3 linked regions of the Notamacropus eugenii genome follow. The protein of the gene in region 2 purifies or fractionates together with the protein of the main gene of each other region. This does not show direct contact. Links are inferred from orthologs where the notes say so. Each region holds a gene or a part of one and is shown on either strand. Other genes may lie near its edges. The genes, in order: TMEM9, CLCN4 and TMEM9B.

Region 1 (10,418 bases), on a different chromosome or scaffold from region 2:
AGAATGAGCTGAGGAATGGGAAAAGGAGAAGAACCCAACTAGTTAGAGTAGAAAATAATTCAATGAAGAGGATGATCCAAGGAAGGACCAAAAGAGAAAGTTGAATCAGAACAAGGAGAAGAACTCAAGGAGTAGGAAGAGAAAGAGATGGAACCAAAAAAGAAAAGAAAGAAGAGTAATTGATGAAAACAAGGAAGAAGCTAGCAAGACAAAGGAAAGGATGCTAAAATGAGATACTTAGCTGTTTGCCACAGCAGTTAAACAGAGGCGCTACTAGCAAGAATAACAAGGGGCCCAAGATTTCACTACCTGTAAGTATGGAGAGTAGGAGAGGTTTTCTAGAGAATATAACAAAATGTATTTCTGGCATGATTAATTGACTATTACCCATGCTCAAAGGATAGGATGGTCACTCTCATAGAAAAGAAAGTAAAGGAACTCAAGGCCTGACCCTCTACCCTTCAAGTTATCAGAAAAAATGAAGGGTGTTTTTTTAATAAAATGGAATAAAGACTTTGAGTGTGAAAATAAAGAAGAGGCAGGGAGAGTAGCTCTGATCTGTGCTAGGAGGCTGGAGGATGACATCAAGGAGAGAAGGATGACCGACCTCTCGAAACTAAGCAATAGAGAGGAGATTCTACCCAAAAAGAGATTTGCACTTGTCCTCCAAAACAATGACAGTTTGTACCCACAGGACACCATAAGATAAGACATTATCTAAAGAGGATAGATGAAAAAGAGAAGGGCCGTGCTGCAGGGAACCAAGGTAGCAATTTGTTAGCTGCTAGTTAATAATAAACTTGTGAAACTTCAAGTCCACCTCTTGTGGGGTGGATGTGGGAACAAATGATAATTTAAGAAAGAATATAAAAGCATTTCCAGGCATTAGAATGTTGTGGGTAAGACAATAAATATCTTAGGAGAAGGTTCAGGTGGCATTTTCATCATTATTACTAACTGAGAGTAAGGGTTTCAGAAGAGAGAGATAGAATTAGGAAGTAAAGGACTGGTTAAGAAGTGACTGCAACAAAAAAAAATGTAACAATGACAGGCTTCTAATGTGATGGAGTGCACCTAATAAGAGCTGGCCAAAATGGAAGAAGAGTTTTGATGTGAAAACAAGAAAAGGGAGAGAAAGAAAGACTAAAGTATGAGTTTCTACAAGAGGAAAGATTTTGTCTAGAGTCTTAGAAAAATCTAATCAAAATGGCTTTAACTTAAAGGAAAGAAAAAGGGCAAAGTGTTTATATGTATCCACCAAGCTTGATACACAGAGGGGCATGTGCAGTCAAAAGAACCGCATCATATCCTCAAATCCACAAAATCCAAAAAAAAAAGAGCTAGTAAAAAAATACATGAGCTCAGATTTCTTTACACAAATGTACAAAGTATGAGTCACACAAGGTGAATTCCAGAGAGTCTAACACAGGGAGGTAAATTTAAAACCCTAATATATATATATACATATATGTGTGTGTGTATATATATATAACTGAACCTTGGTAAGATGACTGAAATACAACTTTAATAACACAACTGAAATAAATCTTTAGAAAGCTATACTTTATTCTAAAGGATAAGACTAAGTAAAAGGAAAGTGGGTAGGAAGAAAGATGTGTAAGATAGCACCATATTGTAAAAAGATAGGTTGTTTGTCCTTATTTTCAAAGAGGACCAGTGATATCATAGGATGGTGTCTTGACTTGCTCATGACTTGGATTTAAGGGAGGCAGAGTTGTACAACGTTGTCAGTCTACTCTCTCTTCCAGAGTTATCAAAGTCCAGTGACAAGACAAAAGTCTGGCAATGACCCAGGGTGCAGGGGATGACCTTGAGGTCTTCTATATCTGATCAGGCTCTAAGTGCTCCACAGTGCCTGCTTCAGCCACCTTCAGAAATGTTGGAATAGCATGTTCTCATCCACACATTCTGCTGGGGAAAGTCCTCACACGCTTGGGGTAGACACCCCCCTAACTCCCTGACAGGTTTGAGGCCCAGTGGTTACCCTTGCCATGATTTAGCCCCATGCTGAGGTGGTTTTTCTAGTGGGGGCCACTGTGCATACTAGTACTTCTTGGAGTTGAGTGCCAGGTAGACACCAAAGGTGGCTGAGCAACCCTAAAAAGGGTCCTTACATCAGAGATGCTAGTCATCTTGGAACACCCCCTACATGTACTTGTGGGAGGAAATCTAAGAAAAGTCTTATTCTGAAAGAATTCCTACATTGCCTAGGAAGCAGGAGTAGCAAATTTAAGCTTTATAGGAAGTGATGGTACAGTTTGAGCAAAGCCTCCAAGTGCTGTCCAGAGCAAGGAGCCAGAATATGCAGAGCTATACCCAGGCAAGAGAGAGGAAGATGATGGGCAGAGCTCGAAACAACCTGAGAGTAACAAAATTCCAGAAGGAGAGATCTGTGCCTCAAAGAACCCTGGGCTCAAAGACTGGGACTAGCCCCAAGGAGGGACTACAACTAACCAGCACTGAGGTGCAGAACCACAGTGAGAAGGAACAAATTCAATCCTTGTCATTCACTGATTCTGAGTCATGTCAAGGTGTCAGTGTGAAGGGGAGAAGCTAATTTTCTACTGACTAGTTTTGAGGGGGTAAGCCTCAGCTCCTAGTGTGGAGCCATAAATTTGGAATGATTCTTTGGATGAAAGGGACATTTTTCTGGACTGCATATGGGTTCAGATACATGTCCTTTCCTTATTCCTTATGTTATGTGATAAATTTGGTTTTTGTTCTCTGCTTTGTTTTTTTAGCATGGTGTTTACAAGGGAGCAGAGGATATGACAGAAATAAGCCAAATTCTGCTGTTCACAAGAAAGACATTGACTTGGGGGCATAAATCATGATGAGTAGCTTTCAAGAAAGAAGATATTCTGTGTGCATCTAGACCTTTGGTAATAGGCCATGGGTTACTCTTCCATAAATATAAAATTGAACCTTTCATTAAAGTCCTATTCTTCCTGAACCCAGGTGACCTTGGGTTCTCAAAGGCAATGGCAGTGGAGTATAAATTCTGGAAGGTTCTAAAGTATCAACTATAGGTTGGCAATAGAGACTGCTTGTTTTCTAAGGACAGTCTACCTAAGTTTAAAGAGACTCATTAGCAGATGGCTGGTCATTCCATGACTTTCATTTTTTGGCTACATCAACTCTTGAAGACAGTCTACTCAGGCATGGAGGGGACAATAGGTATCTGTACAAGGAAAATACACACCAATAAAACAATAGATTCTTGAAGTAATTAAATAAAATGATCCTTTGATTCAATATTGTTAAGTTCATTTGGAATTGGGAGAGAATTGTACATTGGGAAATGGGTCTATGGTAGGAGTTCTTAACCTTTTTGTATCAAGTATGCCTTTGGTTGTCTCTTGAATCCCATGAATCTCTTCTCTGAATAATGTTTTTAAATGCCTAACTCAAATGCATGGGATTACAAAGCTTTAATATTGATTTTAGTGAAACAGAGCTATCAAAGTTCTTTTACAAACAAGTTCTTGGAACTCGCATTAAGAACTCTTATTATTATAGTATATATGAGGTGTCATATATGTGCAGTGGACATTATATATAGCATATATTACATTTGGCATATGATAAAGATAAAATCTTTAATATTTCCCTTGACAACTTTGAATATATGAGGAATAGCTACCTTATTACCAAGTATTTTAATACTTTGGTTTAGATGCGTAGGAGTAACTAGGTGGCACAGTGGAGAGAGTACCAGGTTTAGAGTCAGGAAGACCCTATCCACTGTGCCAAGTAGCTACTCCCTTGGACAGGTATAGGAAGAACTTCTTCTTCTCCTCCTCTTCTTCTTCTCTTCCTTTTTTCTTCTTCATCTTCCTCTTCTCTTTTTCCTCTTCTTCTCCTTCTTCTTCCTCTTCATCTTCTTCTCCTCCTCTTCCTCTTCTTCTTCTCCTTTTTCTTCTTCCTCTTTTCAAGTAATTCATACTCACAAAAATAATAAAGTGATTCACAGGAAAGTGATAAGGTATCAACCCACCTATAAAATAAAAGGATTGGACTAGATATCTATAGCCACTTTTAGCTCTAACATTCTAAGATTCTTCAGGGAATGATATACAAAATATATTCTCTAGAGGTAAATACATTATAAAAGGAGACTAATAATAATTTATATGTTGTTGTTGTTCAGTCATTTCAGTCTTATCCAACTCTGTGACCACATTTGGGGTTTTCTTGGCAAAGATACAGGAGTGGTTTATCATTCTTTCTCCAGCTCACTTTACTTAGTGCTCCAATCTCTGTGCCTTGAAAATTTGCAGAGGATGTGGGTGGAGAGGTTTGAGCCTAGTGCTCTAGCTGGCCACTTGATTCTCTCGGCACAGAGACCTCAAAAGCAGTAATGCTGGTCACAAGGGTACTTCCTACTGCTACCTGTAGAACCTAGCCTGGGCCTTCAGGTTTGGAATTCAATTGAATCAACAGACATTTATCAGGTACCTCCTGTGTGCCAGGTATCCAGCATAGCCAACAGAAAAATGTCCTTGAAGTCAGTTTCACATTCCACCATTGTTGAATACTAACTATGTGACAAGGGGCACATCCCCTTACCTCTCAGAGACTCTAACCATGGGCAGTGATAAGTAGGACCTCAGTGCAGTGAGCTGCCTTGGAGAAGTTCCCTACAATGATGAATTATGGGTTTGCACTGAAAACAAAAACAAGGAGCCAACAGCACTGCAACAGATATTCAAAACAGTTCTTACCCTCAAGCCGCTCACAATTTACTGAATCATAAACTAATTGGGAGTCACGGAGCAGGTGATGCACACCCTGAGGCCCCAATAGGCTCTTGATAAGTAGTTTTTTAAAAGAATGAATGCATGCCACCTTTTAAAAGTCCATCAGGTAGCCCCGTACTTCTGAATAGCATTAATACACCTCTAAATTGGGCTGAGATGGGTGTAGGGTGGGAAGTAGGGCAGAGAGATGTCAGGGCACACTGCCTGCCAAGAGAGTTAGTTTTAAAGCTCCTCAAACTCTAGAGGCAACGTGGAAGGCCTCCTATATCTTACATCAGCAGGAGCTGGTTAGGAATCCCACCCCTGATACTTATTGTCTAATGACCCTGGATAAGTCATTCTCTCTGTACTTAATCTGCAAAAAAACAAAAACAATTAAACACAGTGGCCTAATTCTTGCAAAATGCAAGGACACCCCCTACTGGGGGTAAGGACTCTGACAAAAATGGCTGGAAAAATCGGAAAGCATTTTGACAGAAACTGGATGATCTCGCCGGCAGTGGAAGCGCGCAGTTTGGATCAGAGGGTCCGAGGTCTGCTGAACGCTGGAGGAGAACTCAGAAAACCTTCTCATCCAAACCTCTCCCCAAACCTGCCGCGGCGGTGACTTGCCGAAGGCTGCGCAGAGAGCTCCAAAGACCTGAGATCCTGCACTCTTTTCTCTACGCAGGAGGACCGCGTGCCTTGAGAGGCTGGAGGGTGGACTCGAGTTTCAGGTGGGCAAGGTGACGCCAGGCACCTTCCAGTTCTCAATCTGTGGATGTTCTATAGACCTTTCCAGTTCTGGACTTCGGTTTTTCTGCCCTTCGTTCGGCGACGCTCCCTTTTCTTGCCCATTTGGGGTTAAGAAATGCCCTCCGATCCCTGGCAGTACCTTCCAAACGCCCCCCCCAAGAAGGCGGGTCTTTGTTGCCGTGGAGACAGCCTGAGTCGGGGAGAAGGGCACCTCCAAGAGCCAATAGGAGCTGCAGTGGGGCGGGGCCGTGCTGGGCCCGGTGCTGATGTGGAGAGGTTCGGAGGTTCGCCGCAGGACTGCTGGGGGAGGGGCGCGGGGGCTCGGGGGCTCGGGGCCCCGGGGCCTGGGGTGGGGTGCGGGCGGCTCCGGCCCGTCTCTGCCGGGCGCGGGGGGCTCTGACTGCTAGAGCTGGCCTCAGACGGGGCTGGAGAGGGTTGCCGGGGCTCCGGGCCTGCGCCGGGGAGCAGAGGCTGGAGCAGCTTGGGGCGGAGAGTGGGGACCGGGATGCGGACAGGATGCACAGGGATGCAGGCGCTCGGACGGGAAGCGCACAGCGGGGGGTAGGGGCACCGGGGCCGCCGCCGCGGTGCGCCCGGGGGTCCGGGCGGAGCGCTGTCAGCCTGGATCCGCGCTGCCCGAGGAACTCGAAGCACCGTAGAGATAGGAGTCGGGGGCCTCCCCCAGCAATTATTCTCTCCCGTTCTGACGATCGGGGGGACCTGAGACCCAGAAAGGGGTCACTTATCTAAGAAAAGAACCCAGGCGTCCTGCCTCCGAGCCGAGTCGAGCAGGGTGCAGTCACTCGGGCTTTGGGGACTTGGGGGAAAACGTGAATGTCGACTTCACTTCCCGCTTTTCACTTCCCTCTTCCCCAGCTCCTTGTCTCTCTTCCAGGTGACTGGTCATGCTGACCCAGCGAGCCTTGACAAGCATGAAGCTCTTTCCCCTGGTGGCGCTGGCCTGCTGTCTGGCCATCCCCCCAGCTCAGGCCGGCAAGGTGAGCGCTATGGTCTGGGCAGATGGGGAGGTTTGGCTTTGCTGGTTTACGTAGCGGCGGCCAGAACCTAGCGCAGACTTGGCCCTCCCTAAAAGTACCTGTAAGTCCCTCTGTACTTTGGGGATTCGGGAGATCTACGCCAGGTCTCGTGGTCCGGTCCTCTTAGAGTCAGAAGACTTGAATTTCGGCCCTAAATCCCACTGGCTTCTGCTTCTCATAGCCTCAGTTTCCTCAGATTACAAAATGAGAGAAATTGCTCTCCCCCTGCCCCCAAAGAATTGTTGCTAGGAGAATGCTTTATAAACCTTAAAATGGAATATTAATTCTCTGATCCTGTGTTTCGGTTAATAAATGAACATTTTTGTCTTGGTCGTCGGTTCAATAGATGCTTATCAAGGACATACTGTTTACAGGGTAATGTACTGGGGGCTGGAGAAGCTGCAATAATTCAATGAGACACAGCCGTTGCCCTCAGGGAGCTATAACAGAGGTAGAGTGATAGTAGAATCCCTGGTGTGAGAAGTTTTTTTTTTTCTCTGGTCCCTGCCTTGTATCTAATTTTGTGTTTATTCCTTTGTATTCTGCATATACTTATATATATCCTGGTTGTCATTTCCATTCTAGAGTAAATTCTTGTGCATAGGTATTGTGTCATTTGGGGCAGATAAGTAGCACTGTGGATAAAATGTCTTGCCTGGAGTCAAGAAGACTCATCTTTCCTAGTTCAAATCCAGCCTCAGACAGCAGCTGAGTGACCCTGGGCAAGGCACCTAACTCTGTTTGCCTCAGTTTCCTCATCTGGAAGTAAAATGACCTCAATGGGGTCATGAAGAGTCTAAAAAGACTCAATGACATTGTTTAATTTATTGTACTTTTAATCATTCCCAGTGATCACCTAACACAATTCCTGGCACAAAGGAGGTACTGAATAAATGGCTTGTTGAGTGATTAGATTAGAGGACATACAAGAAGTCAGAAAGACCTGGGTTGGAATGCTGTCTCTGACTGCTATGGATTACTTAACTCTAACTTTTGCTTTCTTTATCATAAAATTGGGAGGTGGAGACCTGTAGTACTTGTTCCTCAGAATCCTCAGATGCTCAGATGAGATAATGTCAAGTGCTTACAAACTTTAAAGTGCTGTGAAAAAGTCAGTCTTGTTTTTTACTGTTGTTGTTATGAAGACCAGGATAGAGATGTGTCAAGGGGCAAGCATCCTTTCTGTGGCTTTGCCTCAGTTTACCTCATTGTGAAATTATCATACCTCCACTCCACTCCACTCCAGAGTTCACAGACCTAGGCATTCTTTCTCCAGACCCCTAGAGAAAGGCAACCCCTATTGCTGTTCAGTGGTGTCTGACTTTTTGTGACCCTATTGAGGGTTTTCTTGGCAGAGATACTGGAGTGATTTGTCATTTCCTTCTCCAACTCATTATACAGATGAGGAAACTGAGGCAAACAGAGTCAAGTGACTTGCCCAGGATCACATAGCTAGTAAATATCTGAGGTTGGATTTGAACTCAGGTCTTTCTGACTGAAGGCCCTTGCTCTATCTGCTGCACCGCTTAGCTGTCCCACTTAGAACCACATATCTTAGGCAGGAAAGGACTTTAGAGATTGTCTAGTTTCTTCATTTTACAGATATGGAAACTAAGACCTGGAGAAGTTAAGGGATTTTCTCAGGGACACAGCTATGTAGTGGCAGAGCCAAGATTAGGCTCTAAGTGTCTTGCTCTGTTCCAGTGCTCAAGCCTGCAGCTTTCTTTCAGGACAGGAGGCTGTTGCTAGCTGAGTCTAGGTCCAGGAAAGATGAAGATGCAAAATCAAATTTGATGAGTATTAAAGAAAAGTGCAGCCTTAATTCTGAGTCAGAGAGAAAGCTTTGCTAAGAAGACCTTGGTTTTTCCCTTTATTTCCCCAGTTCCTGGCACATAGTCAGCACTTAATAAATGCTTGTTAGGCAGGTAGATGGTGAGAATAGAGCAGAATAGGAAAAATCTGAGTTCAAATTAGCCTCAGACCTTTACTAACTGTATAACCCTGGACAAGTTATTTACCTCTGTCTGCCTCATTTTCCTCAACTCTAAAATGAGGATAATAATACCCAACTGCCAGAGTAGTTGTGGCTTGAATGAGATCATTCTAAAGCTGTTAACACAGTGTCTGAGACACAGGAAGTGCTTAACAAGGCTTGATAGGGGAGTCACAAGGCAGGGGCTTTTGCTAGGAGTTGGTGCCCTGCCTCCCAACCTGATCTTCGTTTCCTGTTCTCTTCCAGAGCTCCGAAGACATCCGGTGCAAATGTATCTGCCCACCGTATCGTAACATCAGTGGACACATTTACAACCAGAATGTGTCACAGAAAGACTGGTAAGGCACTACTCAGTTCAGTCATCATTCCTCACAGGGGCTTCCTCAGGAATTCATCAGTGTGCCTGTCCTTTAGGGCTTCAGATGGAGCCGAGGCCACTACTTGCCAGGAATGCTTAGAGGACATTGCTGTTTAACTATGGGTTGCATTAGATGGCCTCTGAGTTAGATTGTAACTCTGCCACTCATCAGCCACATCTAGGGTCGAAGATTAATTGTAGATCTTTTGGAAACTGTTTTTTCATAGATCTCTGGGGAAACAGCTATTTCTTGGAGAGATTGAGGAAGTAAGCTCTATTGAGTCACTCTATCATCAAAAATGGGGCCTGGGTTCCCTGTCTCCCAAAAGAAGTGGTTTGGTGATTTCGTTGTTGTTGAATCATTTCAGCTGTGTCCAACTCTCCATGACCCTATTTGGACTTTTCTTGGCAGAGATATTAGAGTGGTTTGCCACATTTCTTTCTCCAGCTCATTTTTATAGATGAGGAAACTGAGGCAGTCAGGGTTAAGGGACTTGCCCAGGGTCACACAGCTAGTAAGTATCTGAGGCCAGATTTGAACTCAGAAAGATGAGTTTTCCTGATTTTAGGCCCAACACTCTGTCTGCCTTACCCCCTAGCTGCTGTTTGGCAAATGGCCGGTTATTAAATTTAAGTCTGTGGTGCTACATTTAGACTGAGATTGGGAAAGTTGGGGGAGCAGAGTATTCTCTGAGATAGGGGGAGGGTGAAGGGAAGAAAATAGGACAATTCTTTGACTTTTTTTCAAAGCATTTTCATTTGCATTATTCCTTTTGATACTTATAAGCTCACAAACTGTCAAAGCTGGTTAGCGTAGTTGAAAAAACACTAGAAGTCAGAAGTTCTGGGTTCAGATCCTTACTCTGTCACTCCATGAGCAGATCTGTTCATTTCTCCGGGCCTCTGTTCCTTTATCTGTAAGGAGATGGTAGGCCTCAAGGATCTTTAATACTCCTTCCAGCTTTGAATCCTCTATGGACAATAACAACTGTCATTTGCAAAGCATTTTAAGATTTGCAAGGTATGTTACATACATTATGTCATTTGAACTTCATAACAACTCTGTGGGTAGGTATTATAGTTATTTTTATACCTCATTTTACATATGAGGAAACTGAGGCTTACAGATACTAAGTGACTTACCCAAAGTCATACAACTAATAACCCAAGTCTTCCCGACTCCAAGCCCAGCACATAATTTATCCACTAGGCCATATTTCCTCTTGGAACAGCATCACTGAGCCTCAAATAGATTGTGACAAATTAACAGTAGGACTAGAACTCAGGTCTCCTGATGGTCCGAGATCCTTTTCCATTTGCTAGTTTCTTCCTGTTCCTGGCAGATTCCATCAAAGCCAAAAAATGTAAGCTCTAGGAGGAGGTCCCTCCCTGATTAGCTATTGTGGCCATGGCTTGATGAAGTGTCTCGCTCTGCCTTGGCCACACACAAAGCTGTCCAAACCACCGCTCCTTCTTCCTCTGAGCACTGGATCAGATGTTAGCATTCCACACCT
Region 2 (9,983 bases):
ATTTCAGGTCTTCCTGACTCCAGGACCAGAACTCTATGCACTAGACCACCTAGCTGCTCCTATATGAATACCGAAATCTCCCAGAGGAGATTGCTAATCACTAAAAAAGGGTGACCCAACTTATCACATAGGAAGAGTCAAGTGGATGAAAAATGTCTACTGCCTAGATTATGATATGCAAGTGAGCAGACAATCTGAAGAAAAGTTCCCTACGATGAATTAGAAAAGAGTCACAAAGGATAGACACGCATGGATCGTTTGTGATGAGAATCATTTGAGAATACATAGATAAGATCAAGATGGAAGATCCACTGGAGTAGTTGGGTAAGCAGTGGTACTTAAATCATTCAATTAATAATAACTGTGTTTGCCATCTTAGAATTGAGAAGTACATTTGCTCTTTTTTTGTTTTTTCTTTGTCATGGTTCCTCTCAGTTCTAATTCTTTCTTACAACATGACTAATGTGGAAATATGTTTAATATAAATGTATACATAGAGCCTTTATCAGACTGGATGCCGTCTTGGGGTTGGAGGAGGGGAAAGAAGGGGAGAAAATTTGGAACTCAAAATCTTATGGAAGTGAATGTTTAAAAATAAATAAATAAATAAATTTTAAAAAGAGAATTAGTACTTTAGTCTACTCATTTGAGATACCATTCATTCTCTCTCAAAGAAGTCACAGAAAAATGATTCCTTCCTTTCTCTCAATAAATTTTCCAATGGAAACCAGAAGAATTCAAAGCCATATCATTGATTGTTCTTCTGAAATACAGTCATTTCAATAATGTGTAGAATCTATTATATATTTTTCTTTAAAAAGCAAATGGTATAAAATGGTGGTTCAAGCTTTTACTGAGAAACTTCTTTTGTGTCCTGCTGTGTATATGAAATGCTCTTTTTTTGGTGTTTAAGTTTTGGAAAAAAGTTGAGGCTTTTTGTTTTATTTCATTTTGCTTAATAAAAGTTGTCGTTTCAAGCTTCTAAATACTTAGCATATACTAAAGGTTTTAGTTGTGATAGTTTCAAGCAGGCTCAACCTCCATTGAGATTTATTGTCAGATTTGCTCAAGATCACACCACTAGATCACAGACACTTTTCTCAGATGCCTCACTTATCTAGAATGATCAGGGAATCATGAGGGTGTTTCCTCAGTCTGTTTAACAATGAAACCAGAGGTGTAGTTCTAGCCTCTGGCACTAGAAAGGAACTGGAAAGTCTAGATAAGATATTCTTCCTGATAATTACTAGTGCACACTATTTTTAAACCTTTTTTGATGGAAATATTCCATCTTAGTGAGCATTCTGAATATCATTTCACTCTCTTGACAACTCAGCTTATTTCATGCACAGCATTTTTACTACTCCTCATAAGTAGCCCTCTCTCCTGCCACTGCACTAGCTGTTCCCCATACTGGGATGCATTTCTTCCTCTTAGGATCCTTAGTGCCACTGCCAGCATCCCAAGATGATCTTCTAGATGAAAACTTGCCTAATTTCATCCAGTTCCTAGTATGCCCCCTACCCACACAAAATTAATTTTTATGTATATTTGCATTTATTTTATATATTGCTGTTCAGTTGTCTTTAATTTTTCATGACCCATGGAATATGCTGCCTGTGGGGTTTTCTTGGTAAAAACACTGGAATGGTTTGCTGTTTCATTCTCCAGTGGATTAAGGCAAAGAGAGGTTAAGTGATTTACCCAGGGTCACACAGCTACAGGGCCTGAGGCTAGATTTGAACTCAGGTCTTCCTCACTCCAGGCCAAGCACTCCATCCATTGCAACACCTAGCTGCATTCCTCCTTGGATTAAACGTCTCCAACTTATTACAGGGTTCTGCTGAGGGTACTAATGCGCACTACCTTCCCCCAGTAATGCCTTTAAGAACTACTGAACCATGTGGCATAATATTTAAGTGTGCAGGGTCCATAAGAAAGGCACTATGAATAAGAAACAATTTATTTTTTCAATACTGCATAGTATTACACTGTAAAAAAGTGTCAGATTTTAGATTCAAATCCTGGCCCTGATTCTTTTTAGCTCTGTGATCTCAGTCACTTTATCTCATTGTTCCTGCTCTGCAAAAAAAGATGATAAATCTTGCCCTATTTATTTCAGAGTCCTTGGGAAGGAAGTGCTTTGTAAATTTTACATGGTAAATATTATATAGTAATCCACATGCTTATCTCCCTTGACATAGCAGATTAAATTCTCAAAAGGTACGTTTGTGCAAATCAAATTTGCTCAAGTCATTTCAAGTGCACAAGAAAATCTGGCTATCTAAAGAGGAATCTTTCTGCAAAGTGAAATTTTGTCTGTATGTAAATCCAGATATCCACACACAGTGTAAACCCAGTTTCTCAGGTGTTGGTCAGACTGATAACAACCACCACCTCTCAGGTTAGTCCCAAGTTAAGATGTAAAAATATCCCAAATCCAAATTCATTTTACTCCTTTTAAAAAGACAGCAATTCAGTAGACTTGAAATGCAAGCAGTCATGGGAACAAAAACCATTTTTGGTTGCACAGATATACTAGTGTCTTAAAAAATACTTAAGACTGCGGGCATTTCTAAAGAACTGCTTTGCTATCCCTGAAATGTAAAAGAGTGTTGAATTTCCCTAATTAGACTTTTCCCAGACAAACAGTTCCTTATGAGCAAACAGGCCAGGAATTCTGTGCCAAAGCTGAGCTCTGAAGAAAAGCCACCTGAGCCCTCCCCCACTGCTCCCACATCAGCAGCTGACTCACAGCTCTTTCTTCCTCTGGCAAATCTCCCCAGCTTCCATTCAGTCCTTCAAAAACGTGGGGAGCTAGAGTCTTTTATTAATTCATTTGGAGTTCTTCCTCCCAAGAAAAACCAGTTTATTCTTAGAAATGCTGCCATCATCCTCCCTCCTAGAACTTTGGGGGCTAACAATATTTCTAAAAAATCAGGTATTTCATTATTTAAAAAAAAACCCACACTCATCCAGGAGAAACATGTCTACTCTAAAATCCTGCCAAATAAAACTAAGAAAAACCAGGCTTCCAAAAAGCTACCGAACGACGTGCCAATGGCTAAGCCTCTAAAGGGTTAACTAGCAGGAAGTGTCCGCGATAAAATGCTGGGAGCCGAAAGCGGACGGAAGGGGAGAAGCCCAGCTCATGACCGCAGCCTGAGTCCTCTGCAGGGGGCTCCGCGGAGCCTGCCTGCTTCCCGTTTCCGTCCCCGCATCTGCGACCTGGTCATTTCTCAACGAAGACCGCCTTGCCTTCGGGGCATTGTTCGTCTCCAAATCAGGAAGTGAGCCAAGGCGTCCAAGGCTGCGCAACCCAGCCTGCCCATCTCCTGCACAGCTGAGGACCGAGCGTCCGCCAGGGAAGCCATGCCCAGCCCCCACTCCATCCCATCCCACCCCCCGGCCAGCCCCGCCCCCATCTCCCACCCGGCCCCGCCCCCAGCCCTGCCGGCCAGCCCCGCCCCCAGCCCCCGCCCGGCCCCGCCCCCAGCCCTGCCGGCCAGCCCCGCCCCCAGCCCCCACCCGGCCCCGCCCCCAGCCCCCACCCCTGCCGGCCAGCCCCGCCCCCGCGCCCCCACCCCCCACCCCCGGACCGGGGCTCCACTGGGCCCAGCCCCGCTGGGCGGGGGGGTGCCGGCCGGGACACTCCAGCTGGGCCGGCACACGGCCCGGGCACCTGCACGCTTCCCCTGTCCCTACAACGAGCGGACCCCGCTCTTCCTAACCGTGCACGGGGGCACCCAGGGACGGGAGGGGAAAACGGGCAGAAAGGGAAAAAGTCCAAACCCGAGCAGGTGGTGGAAGCGAGGCCTCTTACCTGCGGTGCAGCATCGCTCAGCGCAGCCCGGACTGAGAGAGCATCCTTTCTCCGCGGCTACGGCTGCCAACGCAGTGACGTCATGGGAGGCAGCGCGGCGGGGCCACGTGACGCGGTCCCGCGCCCCGAGCGTCCCTCGAGGAGCGCGGGGAGCGACGGGCGGCGGGTCCTCCCGCACGGGGGAGGCTGCGGGCTCTGCCTCTGGGCTGGCGGGGCGTCGGCCTCGCTCCGAGCTTTCTGGGCCGTGGGCTGAGACCTGCTGGATCCCTCTGGTGTGTCTGCACGCAGCCGTGTGCCACGTGGAACGGAAGGAGGAAAAAACAGTTATTTCTGAGACCCTAAACTTAAGTCCCCTTGTGACTTTCAAGAGAGCAAGTGAAAGCGCTTATTTATCTACTTAATGTTTGTAATGTGTGTTAATAGCATCCCATATAACGCTACGTATCAATACCTGACCACGTTTGAGATTTATGACGTGTTAACGATGTGTTACTGTATTTGGTATCTGTGATGTGTTATATTAATAATACATCATTATATTACCTATAATGTGATATATTGATACATTGAATATAATATATATTAGTAATATATCATATAATGCTACATATATATTAATAATACATTTGATATTTATAATGTTAATGATATATTACTATATTTGATATTTGTAATGTGTTTGTTATATTAATAATACATCATTATATTACCTATAATGTGATATATTGATATATTGAATATAATATATAAGTAATATATCATATAATGCTACATATATATTAATAATACATTTGATATTTATAATGTTAATGATATATTACTATATTTGATATTTGTAATGTGTTTGTTATATTAATAATACATCATTATATTACCTATAATGTGATATATTGATATATTGAATATAATATATAAGTAATATATCATATAATGCTACATATATATTAATAATACATTTGATATTTATAATGTTAATGATATATTACTATATTTGATATTTGTAATGTGTTTGTTATATTAATAATACATCATTATATTACCTATAATGTGATATATTGATATATTGAATATAATATATAAGTAATATATCATATAATGCTACATATATATTAATAATACATTTGATATTTATAATGTTAATGATATATTACTATATTTGATATTTGTAATGTGTTTGTTATATTAATAATACATCATTATATTACCTATAATGTGATATATTGATATATTGATATATTGAATATTTATAATATATATTAGTAATATATCATATAATGCTACATATATATTAATAATGCATTACATTTGATATTTATAATGTTAATGATATATTACTATATTTGATATTTGTGATGTGTTTGTTATGTTAATAATGTATCATTATATTACCTATAATGTGATATATTGATATATTGAATATTTATAATATATATTAGTAATATATCATATAATGCTACATATATATTAATAATACATTTGATATTTATAATGTTAATGATATATTACTATATTTGATATTTGTAATGTGTTTGTCACATTAATAATACATCATTATATTACCTATAATGTGATATATTGATATATTGAATATAATATATATTAGTAATATATCATATAATGCTACATATATATTAATAATACATTTGATATTTATAATGTTAATGATATATTACTATATTTGATATTTGTAATGTGTTTGTTATATTAATAATACATCATTATATTACCTATAATGTGATATATTGATACATTGAATATTTATAATATATATTAGTAATATATCATATAATGCTACATATATATTAATAATACATTTGATATTTATAATGTTAATGATATATTACTATATTTGATATTTGTAATGTGTTTGTCACATTAATAATACATCATTATATTACCTATAATGTGATATATTGATATATTGAATATTTATAATATATTAAACATATCGGATCACAAGACAAAAAGCATCTACGTAGCGCCCACTACTATGTGTCAGGCAATGTGCAAAATACACAGGAATGCAGAGAAAACTAGCGAAACGGAATGTCTCCTTTCAAAAAGCAGCGTGTTAACTTAAGTAGAAACAGTATAATCGTATTTTCATACTCATGTTAAAATGACACCAAACATGCGGTAGGCGTGCATTCATCCAGCTTTCTAGATTTCTGGCGTCTTCTTTTGATGCCCATTCACGCTGGAATACTGCACTAATCATGTGGTTCTTTCAGCTTTCATGCATTGTTTTTACTTTTGGGTTACAAATCAGTAGTTAGTAGGAATGGTGAAAGTCTCTGATGTCTCCTATATATGAGATAGGGTATTTGTGAGAGATATCTCTATTTATAGATCTCCTATCACAGCATAGTACCTGTCCTATATATAGGAGATATGTATCATACCCTATATAGAGAAGAAATCAGTGTCTATAGATAGAAGAAATTATATATGTGTGTGTAGAAAAAATCACAGATATATCCTATATATAGAAGAAGTCACAGACAGGACAGTACCTGTCTTATGCATAGGAAATAACGTATTTGTGATATTACACACACACATATGTCATAGAATTATACCACTTATACTACTGATTTGTAACTTAAAATTATGATAAAAAATATACACATACATATATATTTATGTGCTAAAAATACTAACATAATTACTATAGTATTCCAGCATGAATGGACTTCAAACTAAGTTATTAGAGATTTTGAGTGAATGCATGCGTGCCGTGTATACCAAATCTTTGGTGTCATTTTAATATGAAAATGACACATACATGATATCACAGACTTACACAACTTATACTCACAACTGCTTTATAACTTAAAATTAAAGAATGGATTATGTGCATATGTGTTTACTTTTAAAGCAAGGAATTTTAATATGGTGATTTTTCTAAGAATAAACTTCTAGTAATTACTGAGATAACTCACATTGTCATAATTTTATCTTGATCTTAAGAAGTGAGTCAACTTGCTAAGACAGAAAATATGTACAATGTCAACTTCTCATTCACTGAAGAAATTCAGCTGACTAGGACAAAAATCTGTTTGTGGTCCCAGTTTTACTTGGAGCAGCTTGAAATGAATTCCTGAAATGTAGAGTTTATGCTGTAAATAAGTGGAATTTTTATACCATCTCAAAATAGTTAGAAAATAAATATTTTCAAAATATGTAAGCTCAAATGCAGTAGTAGCCTTCTTAGGACTTCATTTTTTGTTTTTATAGAATGTTTTATTACTTTCACTCTAGTTTAAACTACAGTATTTTCTTTTTCTCTTCCCTATTCCTTTTTTAAAACTTATTTACTAATTTTTAATTCCATATTCTCTCATTCCTTCCAGCACCTCCCCCACCAATCGAGAAGGCAAGAAATTCTTGCCCCCTCCTAAAGAATTACAAAATAGTGGTAGTTTGGGGAAATAACGTGGAGTTTTCCTAATACCAGTTGGTGTTTCCTTTTCTTCCTTATTTACTTTCTGGTCCTTTTTTCAACTCTCTTCAACCTTTCCTCCAAATCAATTCATTTTCCCTTCAGACTACAGTTCTCTGATCTCTGAACACCTACAGTCCTTGTAGTTTACACAGCTATTGCAATTGTTTGCAAGGCCAGATTTAAAAGAAGCTGTTTCAAGTTTGATTTTCTGAATTTTATTGCATATTATTTAAATAGCTTACCTTCTGGTTTATGATTCCCGGGGCATAATGTGAAAATGTTATGGAAATCCACTTCAACTTTGAACTACCACCAGCGTGACTGAGAAGGACTGAAACTCCCCCACTGTGTTTTCACAGGCAGAGTTAAATATAGATTATGCCTTTAATGTTCCCAGAATGCCCCAGAGGGTAAACAGCCAAGTCATCACATGTCCTGGGCTAGCTGGTAATCCCTCTTTCCTCAGCCTGCTCAGTCACAGCCTCCTTCACCGACAAGCAAACCTATGAGAAAGCAGTTCACTTTCTTTGTAGCAGCTGTTTCTTGGATTGTGGCTATCAGTAAGTACCAGCTTCTCTGACCTAGTGGAGGCAAAACCTGAATCAAGTCAGAAATGACACATTTGTGCAAAAATGCTGCGGCTCACATTCACAAATAAAAATGTTGTTGACTCCTCTACATGCATATGTAGCTGGAAAAATTAATCTAGCTATTAATCTACCTTCTGGAGAAGGAAAAGGCAAACTACTACAGCATATCTTTGCCAAGAAAACCCCAAATAGGGTCACAAAGTGTTGGACACAACTGAAATGACTGAACAACAAAAAAAGTATTCATTCACACAGTGCAGTTGTTATTAGCAATGAGTCTATTTCCTTTCTTTTTTTCAAAGTTTCTGGGGGCTTTTTAAGTGTCATACCAAGATTGGAACCTAAAAAAAGTTGAATGAAAATAAAACAAAATCAAAAACTACACATCCCTCTTGTAAGTACAGAGTATTGCATATGCTACAACAGTTATTTTGTATAACTTTGCTAAATTACCATTTTTTGTCTGTTTTTAAATCTTTGTTACAAAGGAGGATTCAGGTAACATGAAAATAAAAGGTACTAATAAAAAGAAAAAATACTTTTGGGAAAATGTGTTATTGTGATCACATAACAAAATTATTGAGCTCTTTATTTTTTTAAAAAATGCTTATTTCATTTCTTTGTTTTATTTAATAAATATATTTTATTTATTTCTTTGGTATTCCAATGGATCAGTGAGTTCATCATTATGGATATTGCCTTCAACGATGTTGATCAAAGTTCATCCATTCCTACTACCATGCATAGCTTTGTCCATGTCCTGAAAACTCAGGGAGGAGGTGAAGCTAACTTTCTAGAGACCTTTTAGATTTCTTAATATTGCATGGATACTCTTTCTCATCCATTCTTTTGAGCATGTTACTTGGAGCTTGTGCCTCTCCCTTGGACTTTCAACAATGGAGGAAGAGAGATTTCTTTTCCCTCCAATTTAAGAAGCGATGGTGGTTACGACTCAAGATCATGAGTGCCATCAAGAAAATGTACCTACCTAGGTGAACCTGAGACTGGACCTCAAGTCTCTGGCTATCTCTTTTGCTATGTGGTTTTTATGGTCTGGATTTTCTTTAAGAATAGGTAACCAAAGAGATTCCTTAAAAGATGGATATTTCCAGCCTAGGTGGCTACAATGTGAGTGTGAGAGTTCCTGGATTCTGGAGTCAGTGTGGGTTGTTCACAAGGGAAGTTGTAATAACAACTAGCCTCCTTCTAAAAAAAATGTTCCTCTGCCACCAGAAGAAACTTCCAGAAGGATGCTGAGCTGGAAGAAATAAGAATATCCAGGAGACCAATACTTGTGAGTTGTACAAAAAGAGCCAGTCAGAGGTGAAAGTGAAATATCTCTTCAGTACCCAAAAATAATCTTTATATTTGGGAAGAGTATTACAACTACGATGTGTTATTTTTTTCTGTTTTAAGCATACATAATACACAATTTGAATCTCTTGTGTTTTAAACATTTTTTTGTGGTAGCCAAAATAAAAAATATCTACTATACCTAAAAAAAATTAAAGCAAGGCAATGCAAGAAAATGTTGCATGGATACCAACGCAGCACACTTCTTGTGGAAAATTTATGTAACACTATAGACAAGAGTTGCACAAGAGGAGGAGTGAATGGGTTGTGTCTTTCACTAGTAGAAGAAGTACTCACATCTCTAAGAGCATAGATCCAGGAATTATCCTAATGTACAAAGTAATCTCAATTTTTAAATTTGATTTAAATTATTTTTGTTAGTTTTGTTTCTTCTGTTTGCCCTATAATAAGGTGTAAAACAAATGGTTATCCTCTTACATTAAGTGATTCTTCAGAAACAGTAACTCAGAAACCTTCATTCTCCACATTTCATCTTTTCATCTCCTTTACTTTTCTTCAGAGACATTTTTCATCCTGTGAAATATTTTTGTTCTGCCACTCATGATTCCCCTCAAAATTTTTCATATTCTTCTAAAAATATGTAGGTTAAAAATTTTAATCAATACAAATTTCCTTTGGGAAAAGTTTATATTCAGAAATTTGAATTTTAAAAATCTAGTCATTGTAGTTTCCTTTAATATAGTGCATTTGAAGCATAATCCTTATGTTGGAGGTTTCTGACATGTTACAAAGGGCCCAGGGGATCCTTGGG
Region 3 (10,006 bases), on a different chromosome or scaffold from region 2:
TGGGGAGAAAAGTAGGAAGGAAGGACAGAAGGAAGGAAAGAACACTACTAGACTGAGAAGCTCTTGATTCTGGCTGCAGTTCCATGAGCTATGTGACCCTGGGCAGGTTACTACCCTCTCAGAGTCTTAGAAATGGTGATAAGATTACTTGTATTGCCTACACCACCAATATGTTGACAGGATTAATTGAGAATATATGTAAAGTATACATAAAGCACACAAGCTTACGTTATTTTGACATTTACTTCCAATAGGCATTGCCAGATCCAATCAGCTCTTTACAGTGACTGTTTTCTAGGAGTGAAAAGATTAGATTATTGCTGAAGAAGAAAAAATTCTACCTACAGTAGGCAGTAATTCTAGGACAGTAAAAATAGCCTTGGAAAGAGATTTCACAGTTAGCTCAACATTTCAGAATACTCACCAATCTTTCTGAGTTATATTCTTGTTATAAATGTATCCAGAATGTTCTTTATAAGGAGGACAAATACACTTACAGCGGACATCTTCAAAATTCTGCAACCAAAACAGAGCATTCTGCATCAAAATGCTGCTATGTAATACATTAACATGCACCATATTTAAGAGGACACACTTTACAAAGTACCTTCTGCTGACTGAACTCTAGAAGTATTCCAAAATTTTAAAACTCCAACAATGAGGTAGTTTTTTAAGCAGAATTCTTTTCTAGTGAGTTTAATTTGAGTTGTCACCTAAAAGTATTACATAAAAGATACTTTTCTCTTTTTACAACAATTAGTATTATAAAACATCTGGCGTTTATAAATCTTTAACCACTTTTTATGGATCACATTATAGCCAATTTACTGGGAATTTCTTGTTTCATCAAGGTCAGCAGAAAGCCTAATAAAACAATGTTGATGAATAAGGATACCATTTACAAGCAGGAAGGGAAGAACACAGATAAAGATTCTATATGTCTGACAGGTAAAAAGTTCTTCCCAGCATATCCATTTGTTGTAAGGACAAGGCTATGGGATGTAGAAACTGGAGGTCAAGGAAACTCTCTTTGGATTAGGGTCAAAGTCTTGGCAAAAGAATGATGACCAAGAAGCAAGCTAGTGTTGATTAGGAGACTGGAAAGGCAATCTTCAAATACCTTCAATGCTGTCATGCGGAAGAGGAATTATTAAGCTTAGCCCAAAAGGGCAGAAGACTATAAGCTTCATGTAAAGAAGGCCTTCACAATTAGAGCTGTCCAACTATAAAATGGGCTGCCTCAGGAAGTACATAATTTGAGGAGGGAGAGATCACTGACAACCAGAAAATGAAAAAAAGGGAGTGTTGTACAACCTGGGATTAACCACATAGTCAAACGCAGAAAGGGAAGGAGAAAACTTTAGGCCAAAAGCACTCAAAAGGTCAGAATGTCTTTAAGGGTTAAGAGCTGGGAAGGGAGGAGGCCCTGAGATTCAGGAAACGGAGTGCTTCCAGGGATCCAAAGAAGTGTAACAGGAGACAGTGTGGTATAGTAGAAAAAACCCTTAAATCAATTTAGATCAACTCCCTCTCCAGCACTCTGCAACCCAGCCAAGGTGATCCTCTCTTTCTCACACAATACACCATCCTGATGCTTTTGTACCTGCCATCCCTGTGGTAGGAATATACTCCCTCCTCACCTCCACCTCACAGAACCCCTCTCTTCCTTTAAGACACAGTTCTATATGAAGCCTTGTCCTGAGCCCTTCAATTGCTAGTTCCTTCCCAAACCACCTTGTATTCATCCTCTTTGTATCTATTCCCTATACACTTACACAGTGTGTCCCCAGCGTTTTAGGGCAATCTTAAGCTACTAAAACTACTAAAATGCAAAGCTGCAATAAGACTTTTGAGGCATTCTGTATATTTACTTGCTGTTTCCTCCATTAGAATGTCAGTTCCTTGGGATGAAAGAATGTTTCATTCTTTGTTTTTGTATCCCCAGTCCACAGACCCTGGCACAGAGTAGGCACTTAATAAATGTTTACTCAGTGACTATAGATTTGCTTTCAAGTCCCTGTTCTAACACACCTTTCCTTGACGTTTGCTCTCCCTTACCCTCATCCCCTGTAGAGTATTCTTTTTCAACTCCTGTAGATTTTACCACCAGACATCTTGCATCTGGCACACAGTCACTACCCTGGTTCTGGCCAAGAGTTCACCCCTCACCTGGGCTAATCTTCATAACTTCCTACTTCCTCCAGGTTTAAATATGAACTCCTCATTATGACCTTTAAAGCCCTGACTTTCCTGTCTTCTCTCAGAAGACCTTCCTTTCATACATTCTACATTCCAGCCACACCAACCTACTAGTACCTGCACACAGGTGTCCCCCACACCAGGAAATACATGGCCTCTTCACTTCTTTTGCTTCCTATAAGGTTCAAATCAAGTGCTACCTGCCATGGAAACCTTACCTGTTTCTCCTGCACTGTCAGTGCCGTAAGCCTCCTTAAATTCTCTTGTGTTAAGCTCCTTCTACATTTGATCTCATTTGATCCTCATAACCACCTGAAAGGGAGGCACTACCATCCCATTTCACAGAGACGGAAACACACTACAAGATTATTCCATGATCACACAGCCAGCAAGTCTGGGAAGCACAAAAATTATGGGCAACTCAACCTTTTTAATCTTCCCTCTGACATTATCTCAAATTTATCCTAGAGAAACTGTGTTTGTACAAAGGTGTTTACGTGTTGTGTCCCTCACTTGACTGTGAGCTCCTTGAGGGCACAGACTATTTTTTTCCTTTCTTTGTATCCCTACAGCTTAGCATAGTGTCAGGCACATAGTAAGTGCTTAATAAATTCTTGCTGATTTGGAAAAAAATTCTCTTGTGTTTACATATTTATATAAACATATATATGTGTATGTTGTATTGTTCTGACCAACCTTAAGCTCCTGTAGGTTTAGAATTTTGGGAATGGAAGGGGTGAGGAGGAGTCTCCTTGTTAGGTTTGGAAATAGGAAGAACGTCCTGCCCAGGATCTGACTTGTTTTGTTTTCCTTCCGGAGGGGGGTCGCAGCTGGTGGCTCCAGGGGCTCCTGGCAGGACCGGCACCTCGGGGAGGCCTCCATCAGGACCCCATTTGGGGTCCAAATTGTGGGGACCAGAGCTCTGAGGAGGAGAGCAGGGGGCGCCTGGCACAGGGTGAGCTGGATAAATACTTGTCGGCTTCCAGGAACGCTAAGCTGTGTGACCCCAAGAGTAACAATAAAACAACAGCGACGATGAACAGCTGGCACCTCTACACTGTGCCAAGGTCCGCAAAGCGTTTTCCAAGTAGCATCACCCTGGACCCTCACGGGGAGGGCCGGCCGTTACTATTATTATCCCTATTTTATAGAGGACGTAAACGAAGGCAGAGAGAGGCTGAGGGACGCGCTCAGGGTGCTGCAGCCTGTAACCACTTACTAAGCGCCCACTATGTGCCAAGGACGGTGCCGCCGCCCTCCAGGAGCTTACACCCGAAAGAGGAGACCAACGAGCAAACACATGTGTACAGGATAAACAGGAGATGACTGGGGGGTGGGCGCTGGAATTAGGGCTTCCTCTGGTGGGAAGTGCGCGGGCAGGATTCGAACTCGGCTCTTCAGCCACGGCGCCGGCACTTCACCCTCCCTGCCTCAGTCTCCTCTGAACGGTGGGGTCAGGCCTGCCCCCAGGGGCCTCGCAGAGGGGTCCGCGGGTCCCGGTCAGGCCCGCCCCCCAGACCCCCGCAGAGGGGTCCGCGGGTCCCGGTCAGGCCCGCCCCCCAGGGCCCCCGCAGAGGGGTCCGCGGGTCCCGGTCAGGCTCGCCCCCCAGGCTCTCCCCAGAGGGGTCCGCGGGTCCCGGTCAGGCCCGCCCCCTCAGGCTCCCCGCAGAGGGGTCCGCGGGTCCCGGTCAGGCCCGCCCCCTCAGGCTCCCCGCAGAGGGGTCCGCGGGTCCCGGTCAGGCCCGCCCCCTCAGGCTCCCCGCAGAGGGGTCCGCGGGTCCCGGTCAGGCCCGCCCCCTCAGGCTCCCCGCAGAGGGGTCCGCGGGTCCCGGTCAGGCCCGCCCCCTCAGGCTCCCCGCAGAGGGGTCCGCGGGTCCCGGTCAGGCCCGCCCCCAGGGCCCCCGCAGAGGGGTCCGCGGGTCCCGGTCAGGCCCGCCCCCCAGGCTCCCCGCAGAGGGGTCCGCGGGTCCCGGTCAGGCCCGCCCCCCAGACCCCCGCAGAAGGGTCCGCGGGTCCCGGTCAGGCCCCCGCCTCCGCCCGGCCCGGCCTCACCTTGGCCGCGTTCGCCAGCTGCACCAGCAGCAGCCCGGTGAGCGCCAGGAAGGACAGGCCGAACACGAAGCAGAGCCGCAGGAAGCCGCTCCACACCGTCGTCCCAGCCGCCACCGCCGCCGCCATCTCGGCCCGGTCCGGCCCGGCCTCGGCGCCGCTCCGCTTCCGTCCCAGCACTTCCGCCTCGGCCGCCCCGCGTCCTCCGGAGAAGGTCTTCCCCCCGGAAACGGCGGCCGCGCGCCTGGGGGCCGGCGAGCAGAGGTTCCGCCCTCCCTTCCCCTCCCCCCCCCCCCGCCCCGTTCCTGGCTCGCTGCCTCTGGGAGTGGCCGCACGCTGCCTCCTCCAGGATGCTGATTGACTATGGCATTGAAATAACAACAGCCGGCGTTCGCTTAGCCATTTGCAGATTCCAAATAACCGCTCATTTTATCTTCACCCCCATCCTGGGAAGCGGCAGTGACTATCGTCCGCATTTTACGGAGAAAACTGAAGCGCACAGAGGTCCATCAAGGGCGCCTGCCTTGGAGCCCAGGTCTAGCCAGCTCTAACCGCTGAACCACCCGGCTGCCTCGCGCCACTTTGATCAGGATTCTTCGGTCTTGCCGAGCTGTTGGCTTTCACAGTGCTGTTATGGTATAAAGCGGTCTGATGTGCTACCTTTGCTTAAGTTTATACAAGTTTACACACGCTAAATCAAATTGCTTGCTTTTTCTTTTTGCCACTTACTAGTATTTTCTTTTTTCCAGTTACATGTAAAGATAGTTTTCAACATGCTCTTTTATAAGATTTTGAGTTCCAGATTTTCTTTTCCTCCCTGCTTTCCCCCTCCCCAAGACGGCACGCAATCTGATACAAAGTATCCATGTACAATCATATGAATCATATTTCCACATCAGTCATGATGTGAAGGAAGAATCAGAACAAAAGGGGAAAACCAAGAGAAAGAAACAACCAAAAAAAAGGGAAAATTGTCTGCTTTCATCTGCATTCAGAGTCCATAGCTCTTTCTCTGGATGTGGATGCATTTTCCATCATGAGTCTTTTGCAGTTGTCTTAGATCTTTGAATTGCTGAGACGAGTTAAGTCTATCAAACTTGGTCATCACGCAATGTTACTGTTACTATTACTGTATACAATGTTCTCTTACTTCTACTCACTTCACCCACCATCATTTCTTTCCAGATTTTTCTAAAGTCCTCCTGCTCATCGTTTCTTATAGCACAATAATATTCCATTGAATTCACTGCATAGATGCCTTTATTCTATCTCTCTTTTAATTAATATTTGTTTTCAGTTCTCTACAATCGCTTCCATAAGTCTTAGATTTTCTCCCATTTCCTCTCCCTTTTCTCCCCCCTCCCTCCCTAAGACAGCGTGCAATCTTATATGGGTTCTACACATACGTTCTTATTAAATACATTTTCACCTTAGTCATGTTATTTAAAGGAATTAAAACGAATGGGAAAAACCATGAGAAAACCAAAACAAAACAAAACATAACACGAGAAAATATTCTGCTTCATTCTGTGATCCAATTCCATAGTTCTTTCCCTGGATGTAGAAGGCATTTTGCCTCAAGAGTTCACTGGGACCGTTTTAGGTCCTTGCATTGCTGTGAAGTAATGTCTACCACAAAAATTCCTTGCACACTGTGGTTGTTGCTGTGTGCAGAGTTTTCCTGGTTCTGCTCCTTTCATTCAGAATCAGTTCATATAAGTCTTTCCAGGCCTCTCTGAAGTCTTCCTGTTCATCATTTCTTATAGTATTCCATTACATTCGTGTACCACAATTTATTCAGCCATTCCCCGGTTTTTGGCCACCACAAAGAGAGCTGTTATAAATATTTTTGTACATGTAGGACCCTTTCCCCATTTTTATGATCTCTTTGGGATATAGACCTAGTAGTGCTATTGCTACATCAAAGGGTATATGCAGTTTTATAGCCCTTGGAGAAAAGTTCCAAATAGCTCTCCAGAATGGTTGGATCAGTTCACAACTCCACCAACAATGTATTAGTGTTCCAATTTTCCCACATGTTCTCCATCATTTATTGTTTTCTTTTTTGTCATATTAGTCAATCTGATAGGTGTGTAGTACCTCAGAGTTATTTTAATTTTCACCTCTAAGCAATAGTGATTTAGAACATTCTTTCATATGATTACAGATAGCTTTAATTTCTTCATCTGAAAACTGCCTATTCATATCCTTTGACCATTTCTCAATTGGGGAATGACTTGTATTCTTATAAATTTGACTCAGTTTTCTATATATTTTTAAAATGAGGCCTTTACCAGGGACATTGGCTGTAAAAATTGTTCCCCAACATTGTTTGCCTTTTCAAGGAGAGTGGGGAAAGGAAGAGAATTTGGAACTCAAAATTTTAAAAAATGAATGCTAAAAATTATTTTTATATATTATTGAAAAAATAAAATATTTTTAAAATTCTTAAAATAAAGTTTATTCAAGTCTTCCCATTTCTTTCATAATTTCTTATGGCACAATAGTGTTCCATTATATTAATATACCATGATTTGTTCTACCATTCTCTGAGTGATGGACACCCTCTTAGTTTCCTATTCTTTGCCACTACAAAAAGAAATTGTGTGTGTGTGTGTGTGTGTGTGTGTGTGTGTGTGTGTGTGTGTGTATGTGTGTGTGTCTTTCTTTGATCTCTGGAATATGTTGGATCAAAGAGTATGCCACAGTCAACAGATAACTTTCTTTTTTACATTTCAATTTCATTTTCAGTTCCAAGTTCTTCCTCTCCAACTACCCCCTCTCCTACACATTGAGAGAACAAGAAAACAAAACCCAGTACAAATGACCCATAACTTTCTTTTGTGGCAATTGGGGTAAAGTGACTTGTCCAAGGTCTTACAGCTAGTGAGTGTCTTAGATCAGATTTGAATTCAGATCCTCCTGATACCCCCCAGCTGCCCTGTCTGTCAGTGATTCCTACTCACCTTTTATCTCTTCTCCTCTCATTTAAGTTAGTACAGAAAAAGATCTCTAAGCCACATTGTACTTGGGTCTTTATACTCCCAGTGCATAGTGAAGTGCCTGACACATAGTAGGCCCTTAATCAATGTTTATTGATTGACTAGACTTGGAGTCAGGACACTTAGGTTCTACTCCTGATTGCCACTGTGTGAAGGGCATCTTCCACTTTTGAGACCTCAGTTTCCCCATTTGTAAAATAAAAACAATTCTCCCTCAACTCCCTTGCCTCAGGATTGTGTGGAAATTACTGTGTAAATCTTTTAGCGATATAGATTTGTGGGATGTGAGTGCTTGTGGACTCTTAAGGGTACTGTGGGACCCACTTGCTTTTCAAATCCAAAAAGATTCACATTTTTTAAAATTTCATGTTTCCCCAATTACATATTAAAACAATTTTTCAACATTTTTTTGAGGTTTGAGCTCCAAATTCTATCCTTCCTTCCTTCTTCTACCCTCTCCTCAAGAGGGGGATAAGCAGCTTTTTTGGCTCCCTGCTTGTGGTGGTGAAGATGCAGCTTCTTTCCGTCATCCAGAATCAGGGTTCAGCCGACACCTACAGCCACCCTGCAGCTTCCAGGCCAAGCCTCCACCTTCACTGCCACCATGCCGCCCAAGTTTGATCTTCATGAAATTAAAGTCGTGTTTTTAAGGTGCACCAGTGGTAAAGCTGGTGCTACATCAGCTTTCACTCCTAAAATTGGTCCCTTGGGTTTGTCTCCCAGAAAGGATGGTGGTGACATTGCCAAGGCAGCTGGTGACCTGAAAGGGCTAAGGATCACAGTGAAACTTACCATTCAGAACAGACAAGCCCAGATTGAGGTTGTGCCTTCTGCCCCAGCCTTGACCATCACAGCCCTAAATGAAACATCAGTTTCCATGAGATTGTCAACATTGCTTGACAGATGAGGCACCGATCCTTGGCAGCCCTCCCTCCCTCAAATCAAAGTCAACTGCAAGTCATGTCGTCATCTTGATGTCATGGTCCTCTTCGACAACAAAGGACAAACACAACAACAATCCTACTCTGGCGATCTCCTGAGGTAGTCTAAGACAGTCTCTGTTGGTTAGGATTGGTCTGAGTCCAACCCCTCAGGGGTCTTTCCTTCCCAGCCTCAGGCCCTGTCTGCCAAGGAGATATTCCTAAGGCACAAGTTCCACCACATTACTCCTCTGTTCAAGAAGCAGGGCTTCCTATTACCTTACAAATGCAAACCCCTTTGGCCTTTAAAGCCCTTCACAAACTGGTTCCAACCTCTTTTTTTCCCAGGCTAATTATACATTACTCTCACAACCGCTCTGCCCTCCAGCCAAACTGACCTCCAAATGGTTCTATTTACCCAGCATCGTATTTATAATAATTTATCCTCTGCCCCCAGGGCCTGTAATGCCTTTTCTCCTTACCTCTGCCCCTCCCAACCTCGACAGTTCCCTTTAAGGCTCCACCTTCTACAAGACATCCCCCTTTCCCAAATTACTAATTACTTTCTATTTATTTTATGTAATTATCTATGTACATACTGTCATTATCCTTTCTGCTCCTTATCCCCACCCTGAAAATTCCTGGGAGACTGTGACCTCTTCATTTTTTACCTTTTGTCCATGGTGCCTAACACAGTGCTTGGCACATAGTAAACACTTAATAAATGCTTATTGAAGTGAATCGCATTGGGGAATATGAGCAAAAGACTGTGGAGAGGATGATGATTCATCAGTCCAAAGTACAGGCCCAGCCGTCCGTTGGTTCCTGTAAGTTCCCCCAAACACCCCTGACTCCCTTGTGATATGAAATCATTCTCTTTAAAAAGTATCGATGAAGCATCTGATATTCGTGCTGCTGAATTTCTCAAACTGAGGAGATTCTGATACCTGATACCAGACCATGTGCTGGACCCTGACCCCAACAAGTGAAGCCAGGGGCCTTCTTAGCCTTAGAGGATCTATATCTTAGCACAGCGACATCTTGGAAGTGTGTCAGGGTTGTTGTTTTAGCCCGTTGCCCTAGGCAGGATGGGTTTCTGTGGGATTAGGACTTCAGTGTCCAAGGAAATGGACTAAGAGAATTCACCTCTGAGTCATCCAAGGCCCATTTCCCAACTATCTTCCTTGGAGCAGGCCTCAGTTCTGAGTTTTAGTGAGATTCTGAACTTCTCAGTCCAAAGGATTTCATTGCTGAAAGTCGATCTGGGTGAACATCTTCATTCAGTTGAACTAACCCCAAGAAAGCCTTGAAACCTCGACCTAAGAGGCCAGGAGCCATGAAAAGTCAAGAGAAACGAACAGAAAGCATAGAGTGAGGTGAGACCAGCCCCAGACTCCCTCTAGGCTTTCCCACAGCCCTTCAGAAAACTACCCTCCACCCCTTGCAGGGACTAGCTTTCTCGTGAGCTCTGGGAAGTAGAAACCTGTGGATGGGACTGTACTTTATTCATATTTGTATAATAATAATAACTAGCATTTACATAGTGCTTGCTATGTGCTGGCCACTGTGCTAAACACTTTACAGATATTATCTTATTTGATCATCACAACAGCTCTGGGAGGTAGGCGCTATTATTATCCCCATTTTACAGATGAGGAAATGGAGGCAGAGAGATTAAGCGACTTTCCCAGAGTTATACAGCTAGGAAGCATCTGAGGTCATATATGAATTCAGCTCATTCTGATTTCATATCCAGCCCTCTACCCACTTTACTGCCCACACAACAGTCAATAAATGTATGTTGGAGGAAAAGTGGATGAAAAATCTGGCCTGCTC

The links.
Region 1: the proteins of CLCN4 (region 2) and TMEM9 purify together in Homo sapiens (co-immunoprecipitation; 3 studies listed by BioGRID and IntAct, with this or other methods). This does not show direct contact. The link is inferred for Notamacropus eugenii from reciprocal best matches to the Homo sapiens genes CLCN4 and TMEM9.
Region 3: the proteins of CLCN4 (region 2) and TMEM9B purify together in Homo sapiens (co-immunoprecipitation; 3 studies listed by BioGRID and IntAct, with this or other methods). This does not show direct contact. The link is inferred for Notamacropus eugenii from reciprocal best matches to the Homo sapiens genes CLCN4 and TMEM9B.

The regions. Positions count from the first base shown.
Region 1 is NC_092873.1:439,455,822-439,466,239, forward strand, and holds the start of TMEM9 (proton-transporting V-type ATPase complex assembly regulator TMEM9), read left to right. Parts: upstream 1-5,467; 5' UTR 5,468-5,655; coding exon of another isoform or gene 5,656-6,236; intron 6,237-6,319; coding exon of another isoform or gene 6,320-6,421; coding exon 6,422-6,514; intron 6,515-8,792; coding exon 8,793-8,884; intron 8,885-10,418. Other genes in the region: IGFN1 (immunoglobulin-like and fibronectin type III domain-containing protein 1), read right to left, coding at 5,656-6,236, 6,320-6,423. UniProt on the Homo sapiens protein: Transmembrane protein that binds to and facilitates the assembly of lysosomal proton-transporting V-type ATPase (v-ATPase), resulting in enhanced lysosomal acidification and trafficking.
Region 2 is NC_092876.1:381,962,225-381,972,207, forward strand, and holds the start of CLCN4 (H(+)/Cl(-) exchange transporter 4), read right to left. Parts: upstream 3,952-9,983; 5' UTR 3,824-3,951; intron 1-3,823. UniProt on the Homo sapiens protein: Strongly outwardly rectifying, electrogenic H(+)/Cl(-)exchanger which mediates the exchange of chloride ions against protons.
Region 3 is NC_092877.1:36,416,941-36,426,946, reverse strand, and holds the start of TMEM9B (transmembrane protein 9B), read right to left. Parts: upstream 4,513-10,006; 5' UTR 4,378-4,512; coding exon 4,252-4,377; intron 517-4,251; coding exon 425-516; intron 1-424. UniProt on the Homo sapiens protein: Enhances production of pro-inflammatory cytokines induced by TNF, IL1B, and TLR ligands. Has a role in TNF activation of both the NF-kappaB and MAPK pathways.